Linked DNA regions of Tamandua tetradactyla. The protein of the gene in region 2 purifies or fractionates together with the protein of the main gene of each other region. This does not show direct contact. Links are inferred from orthologs where the notes say so. Each region holds a gene or a part of one and is shown on either strand. Other genes may lie near its edges.

Region 1 (7,765 bases), on a different chromosome or scaffold from region 2:
TGGTTAACCGCTCTTGAGTACCTACTGTGGGCCAGGCCGTTTATATATGTCATGCCACTTAATTCACCCAAATCCTCTGAGATTTCGGTGCATGTGGTGTGTTACTCAGAGGGGCCCTCCCTGGCAGCTCGTAGGTGGCAGGGGCGGGAGCAGAAGGGCCCGTCTGACCTGGGCTTTTTCTCCTCCAAGGTGTGCCACCCATAGCGCCCCACAGGATTTCAACAGAATCCAGTTGCCACGTGTTACTGATTTCCATGGGGGCACGTGTGCAGAGTTCCTCCCTCAAAACCAGGATCCCGCCTGCCGCCCTGCCTCTCATGTTAGATGAGGAAAGGGGGTGGCAGGGCAGGGTTGCTGGTCCCTGTCCACACAGGAGCAGGAAGGGATACAGATTCTTGTCTGCTGTGGCTTGTGGCTCGGGTGTTTCTGCAGATCACGAGTGTGTCGCTGTGAGTCTCACCTCAGAGACGGCGCGTGCGCCCGTTACATGACTGGGTTCCCCGCCCGCTGTGGCTGCCATTGCTAAGCAATGGTGGTTAGGCTCCTAAACTAGCTGCAGATGGCTTTTTAATTCCAGCCACGGCTCAGCTTGACCCCACAGCCGGGGCCCTTGACAGGAGCCAAGAGGGGATCAAGAACCAGCCAGACACAGGGGCCGCCACTGCGAGTGTGCAAGACGTGATCCGAGAAGACCCCTGTGAGCAGCACACCAAGGACAAGCCGGCCCTCAAGTTCAACCAGAAAAGGGCCCAGGGCCCAGGAAGACATCTGCATCAAGAGGAAGCAGGAGGGGCCGAGCAACGTCCTGGCTGCCTCAAAGAAGCGGCTGCCCAGGAGTTCAGAGCCCCCTCCCTGAGCACAGAGCAGCTTTCACAGACAAAAAGGTACACCCCGACCTCCTTCCTCCCACCTGCCCTCTCTGGGACATGCACCCCAGGGGTCCCCCCACCATGCCCCCAGATTGTCCCTCACCCTGCTGGCCTCAGCTCTTGTTCACTTTTTCATTATAAATCTATCCGGCACCTGCCCTGCTGTGTGTATAGACCAAGGCTGGGTGTTGGCAACAGCCCCTAAGAAGGTGGCCGAGGACTTCCTTATGCCTAACAGGATACCATCAGCCCCTCTGGGCTGCCTTTCCTTGTGCTCTTGTCTTAGAACCCAAGGACAGTTACTCAGCTGCCAAAGAGGCAGCCGCACGCCTGCCCTTTCATCTGCCCTCCACCAGCTGCAGCTCTGCTCCAGCCCTTGCCTGTGAGGCTCTTCCTGGCAGATGGGCACCTCTCCCTGCCTGCCACTTCATGGCTCCAGCACTGCCCCCTCCAGGCTTTCACTTGGCCTCCAGTCCTCTAGCGGGCAGGCTTCCCTGAGTGAGGCCTGAATTTCAGTCGATTTCAAGTCAGTTTGCTCAGGCCACAGTTTGCAGTTGTGAGAGTGATTTTAACATTCATCTGGAGAAACGTAAACAAATGAGAAGGTCCAGGAAGTTTTTTTTTTTCCTAGAGTAAAAAAAAAAAAAAAAAATGAATAAAGAAAGAAGAAGATCATCTCCCCCGCAAAGGTTAAATGTAGAATCAAATTATAAAGCTACATTACTTTAACTGGTTTGGCCCTGGGACTGAAATGAATGAGTACAAGCAGCTCAGTGGAACAGAATATAACCAAGAATAGGGCTAAATATCTGAGGGACTTAACTGTGTGATAGAGGTCACGTTTCAAACCAGTGGTTGAATAACGAATTAGTGAATAAATTGTATTAGGACAATTGGCTATCCGTCTGAGAAAAAACCCTGATGGCTCAATGATGTAAACATTAAAAAAAAAAAAAAAGAATCTAGAAAAAACAAGACCTTAAAAAAATATAAGATGAAAAGCTTAGACTGGGATAAGCCTTTCAAGCAAGACACAAAACCAAATAGTTATGAAAGGAAATGTCTGATAAACATGAATAAGTTAAGAAATCAAAACTCTAGTAGAGCAAAACGGCAATGAAAAAAATGTAAGACACATAAGAAGAAAATAAAGAAAATGTTTCCACATAAATGATAAAGGCTAATTTTTTATTTTTAACTTTTTTACTGTATAGTACAACATATATACCAAGCAAAGAAATAAAAAAGCAACAGTTTTTAGATGAGCAACGGTGGCTCAGTGGCAGAGTTCTCACCTGCCATGCCAGAGACCTGGGTTCGATTCCCGGTGCCTGCCCATGTTTAAAAAAAAAGCCATAATTTTTAAAGCACTCTTCAACAAGTAGTTACAGGAGAGATGACAGAATTTGTCACAGGCTACCAAACAATCCACTCCTATTTTTCCCTTTAGCTTCTCCATAATATAGGAGGCTAGAGGGCTTAAATATTTTTTTATCATCACAATTGACTCCCTTTCCTTCTTTTTTTTTGTGAAAAATAACACACATACAAAAAAGCTATAAATTTCAAAGCACAGAACATACTTCAGAGTCTGACATGGGTTACAATTCCACAATCCCAGGCTTTTACCTCTAACTGTTCCAAAATACCACAGACCAAAAGAGATATCAACCTAACGATGCAGGATTCATATTCATCTGTTAAATCCTATCTTCTCCGCATAACCCCACCGTCACACCTGATCCTTCCCTCCCTCTCTCCAGGGGTAAGGCTAATTTTTTAATATATACAGAGTTCTGAAAAATCACTAAGAAAATATGACATCGTAATATAAAATGGGCAAAGGACATTAAACAGGCAGTTTATAGACAAATAAATACAGTCAATAACAAAGATGCTCAACCATATTTTTAATTGAAGAAGCAGAAATATGGGATACTGTTTTTCACTTATCAGATTGGCAAAAGTGTGCAGAAATGGGCATATTTATTATACATTCCTGTTGGGGTATTAACTATTTTTCAACTATTTTGAATGGCAATTTGTAGATATCGATAGATTTTTGAAGTATATACATTTGGATTTAGCAATTCCACTTCTCAGAATGTCTCCGATATATAGGTTTATGTCTAAGGGTGGTCATGTTCAGGTCACATACAGGGGGCTCTCAGTAAATGGTAGTCGGCAACCAGATTACACTTAAACATTGAAGGAAATTCGAGAAAATACAGAAGAGCACACACATATGTAGTTTATTTACTAAAGTGCAATGACAGTATACAAACTTTGTTCACAATCATACAGGATACCCTTCCGAAGACCTAGAGGACAAGATTTTATTTATATCTTTTCTGGAGCATCCTCTAGGCTGTTCAGAGGCTCAGAGAGGCTAAGTGCTGGCAGAGACCCTCAGGGTTGGGCCATCGGATGCCAAAGCTCTTTTCCCTGTAGCACTGTAGCCCTCTGCCCCTCGCGTCTGCTACTGTATTTAAACCTAACAGTTTAAACTTTTCCCCTACTTGGTTCTCAGGACTACACCAGCCTAAGTCAGAGCAGTCATCCCAAGTACCCTTACATAATGACTCAGCCTTCTCATCTCCCCCACCTGCAACAGGGCTTTGCCCTCTGGCTATTTCCTTCATCGCCACCTACAAACTTCGCAAAGTCTGAAATTTGTCCTTCCACCCCAGTGGAAGAGTTGCCCAGTCCCTCCCTAGGTTCATTCCTTCCTCCACTGTAATTAATTGGGTTCTGGGGGTGACTTAGAACCTTTATGGCTTTGGCGCCCCAAACCCTGTCACCCACTGGCACATGCCTGTTTCTTGTGCCTGGATGCCTGATCCACAGAGGATCCATTTATTTCTCGAAGGGCTGAGGCCAGAGTTAGATGGGCAGGGAAGTGACAGAGGAAGGACGGGCACTAAGTGAGCAGAAGAGCTGGGTCCTGCCGAAAATCCTTGGGAACCCAGAACACCCAGGAGACTCCCTCCAAGGGCATCTCTTGACCCTCGCCCCTGGAGCTGAGGTTAGACCAACTGGGACCACCTGGAGAACAGTCATGCCAGCCCCTAAGCCCATCTGATTTCCCCAAAGCCCCTTGAGACATGCTCACTGCCTATCCCAACACCTGCAGGCAAGGCTCAGTCTCTTTCTAGCTGGCCATGATGTGCTGAGGCCTGAATCCCTGACAGCTTCCGGTCCTGCCCCCCTTCCTCCTGTGGCCTCTCCTGGCCGAGGTAAGTTCTCAGCAGAAGCCACTCAGCCCCCCCAAAATAAAACCTCACAGCTCTCTCTCCCCACACGTGGGGCCTGGAGGACAGGCACCGGGGCCCCAAGAGAGATGCTCTGAGAATCCTGCCAGCCCCGTGTACTCGGCTGACCCCGGCACAAGGCCAGCTATGGTTGGGCACCCTCCTAGGACCAAGGGCAAGTGTCCTGTCCGGCCCCGGGCCTGGGTCCTGCACACAGGGCCTGCTCCATATGCTTTATCCTTAACGGAGGGCCGCACACACCAGCCCCGGTTTCGCTAAACGGGCACATATTGGGCGCCTGTCTTGTGGTGCACTCCGTATGCACTCAGTGCTGGAGCATGGACCCAGCGGCCATTTGTCAAATGGCACAGTGGCGGAGTTCTCGCCTGCCATGCTGGAGACCTGGGTTCGATTCCTGGTGCCTGCCCATGCAAAAAAAAAAAAAAAAAAAAAGTCAGTCTTCCAACCGGTAAACAAGCCGAGACCGCCCTGCAGCCACGGGCAGAATGACATCGGTCGAGTACCTTCTCCGCAGGGGGAGGGAACCCACACCAGGGGGAAAGGGCTGCGCTGGAGGAACGCCACCCTTCCCAGACACACCCAAGATGGCCGCTCGCCTTGGCCCGTTACTGAGCCTCGCGCAGGCGCATTGCCACCAGCCTCTCCCAACATGGCAGCACCGGCGCGGTGCCGGGGCGGGACTAAAGACGGAAGTGGGTGTGGCAGGGACGCGACCCCCGTGGGACTGTTGGGAAAGATACTGAGGAGCCGGGAGCCGCAGGGTTGGGAGCGATGATCCCCCCGCAGGAGGCGTCCGCTCGGCGGCGGGAGATCGAGGACAAACTGAAGCAGGTGGGCGATGGTGGGGAATCGGGGGAGGAGGTGGAGGGAAAGGGGCCGAGATCCGGGCCGGGCCCCTACGCCGGGAGGAGGCGCGGGTGGGAGGGGGTGTGAGGAGATGGGTTTCAGATGAGGGGCGAGGCTGGGGGTCCGAGGACGCAGTAATCTCCCTTAGCACGCAGGAATCTCCCTTAGCCTCCGGCCTCTGGTGATGTCCTTCCCTCCGCTCCCCGTAGGAGGAGGAGACGCTGTCCTTCATCAGAGACAGCCTGGAGAAGAGCGACCAGCTCACCAAGAACATGGTGAGAAAGTGTTCAGCCGGGAGGGGCGGAGGGGAGCCTTGCTACGGGAGGTGCCGGGTACCGAGGGCCTGGTTTGGAGTGGATAGTGATGGGTTTCTCTAGCAACGATATGGTGTCTCTTACCTCCCGCCCCTCCTCCAATTTCCGCCCCATCTCTGAGGACCCGGCAGCCCCCGCTGACTTGAACTTTCTGCTTTCTGTCTAGGCTCTCCATTCTTCCTTTTCTCTTGCCACATTTAGTGAGACTGAGTAGTCCTGGTCCTGGGTCATTCTTAACTCAAGACTGTCCCGGTAGGGGTGGCATTTTGAGATTACTTTGAGATTTGAAATTACTGAGAGCATAGAAGACTCAGCCTTCACCCCCAGAGGACTTTAGGGGTAGAAGGAGCGCTTACTCCACACAGTTGTGTGATTCCAGGCAGTTGACTCTGAGCTGTAGTTGACTTGTGTACTAAAACAGTGACAATGTCAACCTCTCAACGTGACTGCGAAGGTCATATGAATGGATGCATCTTGCACAGTGCCTGGTATACAATTGTGCTCAATAAATATTCGCTTCCTTGTTTACTCCTAGCTGAGATCGTTCGGGTAGAAGTTGAATAGAAACAAACGGATTTGCATTCGGTAACACAGTGATGAAGTCCTATTTCTTGCATAATGAGATTCCCCCTTTAGAGACAGGATTTTGAAGGTGCCAGCAAATGCTTTGAGGCTATTCTGTATGAAACAACTTCCTGTTCAGTCTAGGAAAACTTCAAAGAGACCAGAAGTTGAGATTTGGCTTCAAAGGGTAGAAGAGAAGTCATCCTGGAATGATTATCTTAGGAATTAACTTGATACTTAGCTTACCTTCAAACTGACCAATTTGCGGGGGACCACCTCTTAATTGCCAGGCCTATGCTAGATGTTGGGGAGGCAGGAGTGAACAGGTAGGCCCTGTCCCTCCTTCTTGGAGCTTATTGTCTAGAAAACAAGAGAAAAGGCAGGAATTGCCAAAGACCTGCTGATGAGAAGGAAGCAGAACTGGGACCACCCTAGAGCAGAGACTTTCTCCCAACAGGTGTCTATCCTGTCATCCTTTGAGAGCCGCCTTATGAAGCTGGAGAACTCCATCATCCCTGTGCACAAGCAGACAGAGAATCTGCAGCGGCTGCAGGAGAATGTGGAGAAGACCCTGTCCTGCCTAGATCATGTCATCAGCTACTACCATGTGGCCAGTGACACCGAGAAGATCATCAGGGAGGGGTGAGCCAGGGCCGGAGGGCCACATCCCTAATGCCTCCTGGACCACCAGCTCTGGGCCTCAGAAGGGAGGGGTAGGATGTATTTAGGTCTAGTGTTAATTCTCTTCTTCTTCTTCCAAACACCATGGCCTAATCCTTCCCCTCCACTGCTCCCCAGCATGATCAGGCTCCTTTTCTTCCCAGCCCCACAGGTAGGCTGGAGGAGTACCTGGGAAGCATGGCCAAGATCCAGAAGGCTGTGGAGTATTTCCAGGACAACAGCCCGGACAGCCCAGAGCTCAACAAAGTGGTAAGGGGCCAGCAGAGTAAAGGGAGAGGGCTGGGAAACATCCCTCCCTGGTCTCATAAGGAAATACCTGGCCAGCTTAAAAGAGTATACAGTATAATAAACAAAAACATCTAGTAGAATTCAGATTCTCCAGACACTAAGATCTCTGTCTCGGAAATTATAGGCTTACATTTTTATTCTGTTTTTGTAATTTGTTTAAAGTATATATGATATAAATTTTACATTTAGTTTTTATAAATGCATTTGCGGTTTTGTGTTTATATTTTGTGTGATGTCTTTGCGTCTAAGTATTGGGGTCATTAGGACACCAGAGCAGGGTGGGAGAAGGGTTAGAAGTGAGATTTACTCTGTGTTGAGAGAATGAGAGGCTGGAGACCAGAGGAAAGGTGGGAGAGGAGGCCCCGAGACCCAAGAAGGTGAGTGGGGCCAAGAGAGTAAGAGTATTAGGGGAGGGGCCATCTGGAACACAGTCTCCTGGTGTACCTTTCTGGTGACACTACAGGTCTCACTCTGAGGTGTGTGGCTTGCCCAAAAGAAGGCATGAGCTGAAGAACAGAGATGAGAAACTGTCTTTTCTCCTGACCAAAAACTTTTGCTGAGAGCAGTGCTTCCTGGCTTTTCCCCCATCATGGCATACATCAGAAATGAGAATATTTGTGTGGCACCTGGGGACAAACTGGAAACCAGACGGTGGTCCCCGGCCACCCAAGGGCCCACCTGGCTGCCTTGAAGGCTGATGGGATTGATACCTTGGCGCTCCTATAACCCAGTGGGGACCCACCAGCTCTACCTGGTATAAACAGCTGGTGGGAGGGAGCCTGTGTCTCAGAGACTGGGATGGCAGGGACTGCAGAGCATTTTCTTCTCAAGGGTCACTCCCAAGTTTCATTCGTAGTGTGCAGAGCTCTGTACTAGAACTTGGGTGCAGGGATGGGATGGAGAAGGAGAATACATAAGATTATTAAACCGT
Region 2 (7,584 bases):
CTATTATGTACCCAAGAAAAGCCATATTCTAATCTTGATTCCATCTGTGGAGGCAGCCATTTCTTTTAATCCTGATTTAATAATGTAGGCTGGACCATCGTGATTAAATTATCTCCATGGAGATGTGACACACCCAATTGTGAGTATTAACTTTTGATTAGATGGAGATGTGACCCCATCCATTCCAGGTGGGTCTTCATTAGGTTACTGGAATCCTTTAAAAGAGGAAACATTTAGAAGAAACCTCAGAAATGACAGAAGCCTCAGAACTGACAGAAACTTCACAGCAGAGCTGACACAGATGCGGACACGGGAAGAACAGTAGCTTCAGAAAATAGAGACACTGATGTTTGGAGCCCAGCAGATACCACCATAAGAAATTAAGAAAGCCCAAGCCTGGAGAGAGCCAAGGGAAGTCAAGAGATGAAGGCCAGCCCTGGAGAAGCAAAGTGAGGAGCCTCCACAGGAAGAGGCTGAAGGCAACTGAGCCCAGGAGCAAGGGACCAGAAGGTGCCAGCCACGTACTACCTGGCTGACAGAGGGGCTCCGGACCCATCAGCCTTTCCTAAGTGAAGATGACCTCTTGTTGGTGCCTTAACTTGGACACTTTCACTTTCTTAGAACTGTAACCTTCTAACTTACTAAATTCCTCTTCTTAAAAATCCATTCCAGCTCTGGCATATCGCATTCTGGCAGCGTGCAAACTAACGCAGTACAGATCCTATTCCCTTAGTGGTTATCCTTGACATTCTTATTTAACAAAGTTTAAGTTGAAAATTAACCAAGGTCTCTATTCTCCTCCAGAACGTGACAACCACCTTAGCATGCTTTAAGGCCATCTACCTCACTCCCCTTTGACATTATCCCCTGCGTTGTTTTAAATCCTTGCACTCTCACTTTATTCTTGGTCACAGAGAAGGCAGTGGTTGTGGAGACCCTCCGTGCACCCTCCCATTTTCTGGCAAGCTCTTGGGTCTGGGACTGGCAAACGGCTGAAGGGAAGCGAGGGTGGCCCTCAGGGTTGGAGGTGCCACATGCCTGGGGCCAGGGAAGCCAGGGAAGCTGCTCCTGGGGTGGGCAAGGGGCTGTGTGCAGCAGCTGCCTCTGCCCGCCTGGGGGACACATGGCGTGATCAAGAGACACAGCTTTAGGATGGGATCCTAACGCTACTTTCTTTTTCCACTTAATTTACCACCCTCATCTTCGAGTTGACATTTGCTTAGATTAAGCCACATTTTACCAATTTATTTGTTCATTATTTCTTCCTATATCTCACTCCTTTCTCAGTTCCATTGCCTTCTTCCTGATCTATATCATTAAATGTTATTTTAGTAATCACAAAAAGCACAAACGTTCTGATCTTGCCAGTTTGGTAAACTCTCAGTCTGCCTGAGCATATCTTTATGTTACCCTACTTCTTGAGTGAATTTAGCTGGCATGCATGTGGAGGTCAACAGAGATGGCAGGGTGCTACCTTCTGGGCAATTTCCTAAGACACGTCTCCAAGTCAATTATTTCCTCTTCCGTCTCAGGGTCTAATCCTGCTTTTTAAGTTTATCCCATTCATAGTAGAATGGCAAGCTGCTCATTCACAGGTATCCCCTCGTGTGTTTCATAAGTTTGTATTGTGGTAGAGCTTTTTCAGGGAGGACAAAGCCGAGGGGTGGATCTTCAGAAATGGCTTTGCATCAGATCCCGTCAAGGTGCAGGGGTGGCTCTCTAGAAATGTTCCAGCGTTTGCTTCTGCTAATGGATGACTTTCAGCAATCATTTCCAGGCCGGGGAGCTGCAGGATTAATCTGAATCATTTAATTTAAGTAAAGAGCAGAATAAGAGCCATGACTTCTTAGGGGGAGGGGGCATGGGAAGGGCAGGCTTCTCCACTAGACAGAGTTACACAAACTTCCTGGTGTTCTCCCAAGGGGAAGCTGGTTTTGTTTTTCCCGGGTTACCTTTCATGGAGGGTGCACCCTTATGAGTATACTGGCTTCATATGTGCTCAATCTTAGCCTCATCTTCTGTTCTGCAGGAGTATAAAAAAACCAAGCCCCTAAACCATTCACCCTCCCCAGCAAACCTCCCTGCCTGGCAGCGGAGATCTCTGCTACTCACTTCCTCTTCCTCCTTTGTTTGTGCACCCTCCTCATCTCCTGTAGTCTCTGGTGAACTCAATGATGCATTTAAAAGGATGTTACATTTATCCAATGTATTTATCCATCTATGTTTTCAAGAAATCTTTTCAGTTATCTGTCTGCTAAAATCATAACTCAAGAAAGATTTTTAAGATTTTGTTTTTGAGTTTGGAGGGGAAAAATTAAAGCTTTTAAATAAAGCATCCTATTCCCTAAGCAGTGTGATTAATTGGTGAAGCTATTAGGGAGTGCTACATTCAAACACACTGCCAGATATTGACAGATGAGTCTTTATTTCAAGTGCTGACTTTTGTTGTTGTGCTTTGTTTGTTTGTTTTTGAAGTAACAGTTCTGAAAGCTTTGGTAATTTTGGCATTTTTCCTATTGGTTTTATAATTTCATAATTTCAACTTTCTCTTTGCACATCTTCATTGCTGAACCTACTGCTGTATTGTGTAAATTAAGAAGCAGGTTCTGTCCTCTTGCACAGAGCGTGCTGATGTGGAGTGGTGAGCTAAGGGTGTGGGGCTGTAGTCCTGCACATAGTCAGCTGTGGCCTTCACAGTGGTCACGTGACAGGCAGGTTGTTCCTGGCCACCTTATTTGGGGCCCCTCAGGGGAGGCTGCTGCACCCCATTTCCCTGCCCACACACCTAGAGCTGTTCCCCTCCTCGCTACCCCCATCTTCCTTCCTGTCTGGCTCTCACCCCGCTCCGGATTTCCACTCTCATGGCTGACTTTCAGGTGGCAGTTGGGAAAATATTGAAAAATTTCCTTTTCCGGCAGTTTGTTAAGGTAAGCAATGCCTGCTGCCACAACAGACGAACCCTGAACTCTTAGTGGCTTAGTCCAACAGGATTCCTACTCACTCAGGTGAAGTGCAGGTCAGGTCGGGTAACTCCTCCATTGAGTAAAACTCAGGGGTCTGCCACTGCGGGTTGCCATCATTTCAAATACCGCTTCCAGGGTTGCAAACAGGCCTGACCCTCCACGGCCTTGCCCTTTGAAATGCCTTTTCTCACACTCCACTCGGCAGTTCCTGAGACCTGCCCCAGCCATTTATCCCAGGTGATTTGCTCCTGGCCACTGCCTTGATGAAGCCTTCCTGTGCCCTGACCCTACATCCAGGTCCAGTGCCCTCCACATACATCCCACGCACTAGTCCCAGCACAAGCAAATCCCCCATAGAATGCCAGTGTTTCTCATATTGTGTGCCTGCCCTGGGCTTGGCATCAGATCTAAGCCTTTCAGCCTCTGCAGAAGACGCCAGCAATGGATTCCCAGCAAGCACTTCAAGAATGTGGCTTGCATGACTAGGCAGACGAACTGAGTCCTCGGTTCATGCCACCTCCTGTTCAGTTCATGCTCTGCCCTGCAGCTAGTTACCTTTCTCAAACCTATGATGCTCCCCTGCAGACATGCAAAAGTCTTACATGACACAGAGCTCTGCAGTGGGGTGCAAATGTTCCTTTCCAGATCACGTTCTGCCACATTTCACATGCTCTACATGACCCATTCAGCAGTTTCCCAAAGCTAGGGTGCCCTTCTCCTGCTCCCCCTTGACTCCTCTCCTGAACACCCCTTCTCTTATCCCAAGATTCACGCAGCTTGGTTTCCATGGCCAGCCAGAACCACAGACCTCAGATGCTACTTACCCCCCTTGCTCTCCGCATTCTGTGACAACCAATCCCACGGCGGTTGTTCTCACATCAATTTCTGACCTCTCTGTGGTCCTTGAGGGGCTGAGTTTGACGCATTTTTGATTGAAGGGTCTACAAAAGGCAGCTCACCGAGTAACTGAGTTTTCTGTGTGCATCAATCATGACAGTCAGGTGTAACTGACAGGTCACTGGGTGTTCCACAGTTCCATTCCTTCATTTACAGACGGCTGCCTGGTCTGGGTAGTTCCTGGGGTTTATTTAGCACACAAGACAGGACCCCCAGCACATTCCGTGGGGAAGACAGACTGTAAACAAATGAACACGGTACAGTGTTAGTAGTGAAACTGGTAAAGAAAACATAAAACAGGGGAAGAGAGGTACAGCGACTCTTTCACATAGGCAGGTCAAGGGTTATAGAGAGGAAATGCGGCGGAGCCCGAGTTTGGTGAGGGTGAGCCCTGAGAAGGGGGTGGGGGCGGGGAGGTTTCCGGCGGAGGGGAAAGCGGCTGCAAAGCCCAAGAGCCAAGAGGTCAGCCTGGCAGACAAGCGGAGAGGCAGAGGCAGGGCCTGGGTCAGAGGGTCAGAGGAGTTGCTCAGGCAGGGTCAGCTCTATCAGATCTTCGCCGCCTTGGGCCGGGGACCCCGTCCTGACGTCTCCCCGGTCTGTGGGGCAAGGACCCCCATGCAGGCAGTCACGTGGCCCGCGGGGCGAGGACATGCCCAGTTCTGTTCTCACAGCCCCGGAGCCGCCCTTCCGGCCGCGCCGCCGGTAGCGGAAGTAGCGGCCGCCTACTTCCGGCGGGGCGCGGGCGGCGGCGGCTGCGCGGCGGTGAGGAGCGGCGGGCCGGGGTCGCTGGTGGGGGTCTGCAGCGGGGCCGGGAGTCGCTCGGCTCGGGCGGGGCGGGCGGCGGCTGCGGGGAGCCGCGGGTTGGACGGCCGGGAGTTGGGTCAGACCCTGTCAGTGTTGAGGGCGGTGGCTCCGCGCGCTACCCGTGGCCGAAATCGTGCTGTCTTCAGGCTGCGATTGGAGCCGTTTCCGAGCGAGCGTGGTCTCGGTCTGCTTTGCAGTTCAGGGCTGGACGTCCTGGATTCTGCTGCCAGGGCCAGCCCAGTCCTGGTAGCGTCTTCCTCCCCCACGGCCCCGCCTGTCCCCCAGAGGAGATAGCGCGCGAGCTCGGCGGGCCGGCCCGCCTCGAGATGGGGCCAGGTAGGCCATGTGCACCTGCCTGGGGCGGCTGGGTGCCCTTTCTCCGATTATCCACCCTTGTGATGGAAATCCTACAGGTTTTAGTGTCAGCGGAAATGCTGATGATAACATGTCACAACACAACAAGAACAAAAAAGCATGGCAAAATTGTATTCGCAATATAATCTCAACTTGTAAAGAAATGCAAAGGGAAAAAAAAGACTGGAAATAAACCCTATTAAAAGTGGTGGCCTCGAGATGGTAGGATTTAAGGATGATTGCTGCTTTGTACTTTTTTGTCCTGTCCAGACTTTTTACATTGGTATGAGTGATTTTATTATCAGGGGAAGTAAAGAAAAAGGAAAGATGGTGGTTGCAGTATAGTTGTAATTGAAAGGGAAAAGTGACAAGAGTGATATGTACGAACAGGGTGGAATTATATAACACGTGATGAACAACCATCCTACATTTCAGAGTTTTTGTGAAAGCAAATGGGAATGAATAGTGAAAAATTCACGGAGAAGGTGAATCTTTTTCATATCTTTAAAAAAATTGATAACAGTCAAAGTCAATTGGATCTAATACTTATTGACTGCTTTTTGGCCAGATCCTTACCAGGTAGCTATCATCCTTACCAGGTAGCTATCCCTTTGCAACCCAGTGACTGTGACATAGTGGAACTAGGATTTGAAGGCAGGTTGCTTGGAATCTGAGCATGTGTGCACTCTGTACACTATACCTTGTTGCCTCGTGAGCAGAGGAGGACATTGTCCTCTGCCCTCTCACCCTTGTTCTCTAGGTCTATGTTTGTATGTAGGTGATAGAACTTGGGTAACCCCAGCTCACAGTAGGTTTTGAGGGGAATCACAGCACTTACATTGGAACTCAGCTGGGGTGGTGGAAGTATGTGCTGGCACCTGTGTGCACCTGTTGTCACTAAGGTGTCCTGGCAGAGCTGCCATGCCAGTGTGGCTAAGGGTAGCATAAAGGCTTAAGAAATGCAAATTGGCCCTATTTAGGGGAAGAGAAGTGCTTAGAAACTGGCATTCTGACATGATAAGTGGTTTAGGCTCCACATGTAAATGTCTGCGTATGTTTACATCTCTCATGCCTGTGAAATGTTGCTGCTTCTCCCATAAGGTTTGTTTTCTTGTTAAGGAGTTCATCATCCTAGTTGAGCTTTCTTTCTAATGTATTGGATGAATGATCTCAAACACTCTCCTCATAGCCACATTATGACCAACTGACTGGAATGGGGAGTGGAGATACATTTTGTACCTAACATCTTTACTTTCCTAACATATCTTTCTCTCCTGCCACACACAAAGGACACCTCTAGTATGACAGGGGTGGAAATTTTGCCTGCTCTTTGACCATGGAGGAGACAGACCGGGAACCCATTGCAACTGCAGTCCAAAGGGTGGCTCAGGTGCTTCAGCGCCCTGACCAGCTGGACAAAGTGGAGCAGTACCGCCGCAGAGAAGCTCGGAAAAAGGCCTCTGTGGAGGCCAGATTAAAGGTATGGAGCCAGAGATAGCATCTTTCTAGGCAGGGCAGAATCATTCTTGAATTTTAGGTTCCTTTGTTAAATTATTGCTTTTTTTTTTTTTTTCATGGGCACTGGGAATCTAACCCAGGTGTCAGCCATGGCAGGCGAGATCTCTGCCACTGAGCCACTGTGGCCCACCCTAAATAATTCATTTTTATTTGTTGAACTTCACTGTTACACCTATTAAATTAGACCTTCTGATGCTATGGAAGGAAAGACACAAGGCTGAACTTTACCTGTAGTTAGCAAATTGTTTCTAACAATGTATTACCAATTAGTATACAAAGAAGTCAGGGAGAATATTGAGAATATCAAAGGAGCAACATATTAAAGCATGCTCAGACATTCCAGGAGTGTCTGTTTATCTTTTGAGCAATACTGGAATAGCGACGACTCTTCTGACTTATTAGATGCTATCCTCTAGAGTTCCCATAGTGCTCATTTTGTTTAGACCATTTCAGCAAATGCTCTGAAGAGCTGCCCCTCTGCCAGGCATTCCACCGGGTGCTGGAGGCAGGAAGAAGGAGGAGAACCCAGCACTGTCAAAAAAGATGTGAAAGGGTGGATCAGGGAGAAAAGCCTCTCGGAGATATTTTATGATTTGGATTGACTGGCTCTCAACTTAATTAATATGACTAGTTGAGGTTTTATTAAAATATGCAAATTCAGTACAGCTATTTGATGTGAGAACCACGGCCTGCTGTAGTAGACAGGAAGATGTTGACTGGTCTTGGGGGTTTAGGGAAATCCCTTGGTGGAAAAGTTAATTCTCGCACTAGTAGGACATTGAGGTCATTCCTAAACTTGAAAAGGTGTGTTAGCACCCAGGTAATAAATAGCAGGTTCAGTGAGACCAGGTAAAGGTCACTTAATTGTGTCAAAAGAGCATCTGAAGATCCTGTTGGACTAGTTTGAGACAGCAGTTTCAGGTTAAAGAATAGCTTGAACCTACTACGTTTTATGCCTGAATGTTTATCTGTTCTAGAAACGTGTGGCATTAATTGATCATTAGTAATAGAGACTTAGGCATTTTGGTCTCTTATAATAATTTTAACT

Evidence for each region. Proteins that work in one complex are often made in the same cells at the same time.
Region 1: the proteins of EXOC3 (region 2) and EXOC7 purify together in Homo sapiens (affinity purification with mass spectrometry; 5 studies listed by BioGRID and IntAct, counting the BioPlex papers as one, with this or other methods). This does not show direct contact. The link is inferred for Tamandua tetradactyla from reciprocal best matches to the Homo sapiens genes EXOC3 and EXOC7.

What each region holds. Positions count from the first base shown.
Region 1 is NC_135332.1:16,546,679-16,554,443, reverse strand, and holds the start of EXOC7 (exocyst complex component 7), read left to right. Parts: upstream 1-4,760; 5' UTR 4,761-4,912; coding exon 4,913-4,972; intron 4,973-5,196; coding exon 5,197-5,262; intron 5,263-6,322; coding exon 6,323-6,507; intron 6,508-6,689; coding exon 6,690-6,795; intron 6,796-7,765. Other genes in the region: uncharacterized protein LOC143686572, read left to right, coding at 578-884, 1,156-1,255. UniProt on the Homo sapiens protein: Component of the exocyst complex involved in the docking of exocytic vesicles with fusion sites on the plasma membrane.
Region 2 is NC_135335.1:48,919,162-48,926,745, reverse strand, and holds the start of EXOC3 (exocyst complex component 3), read left to right. Parts: upstream 1-4,573; 5' UTR 4,574-4,622; intron 4,623-6,307; 5' UTR 6,308-6,354; coding exon 6,355-6,498; intron 6,499-7,584. UniProt on the Homo sapiens protein: Component of the exocyst complex involved in the docking of exocytic vesicles with fusion sites on the plasma membrane.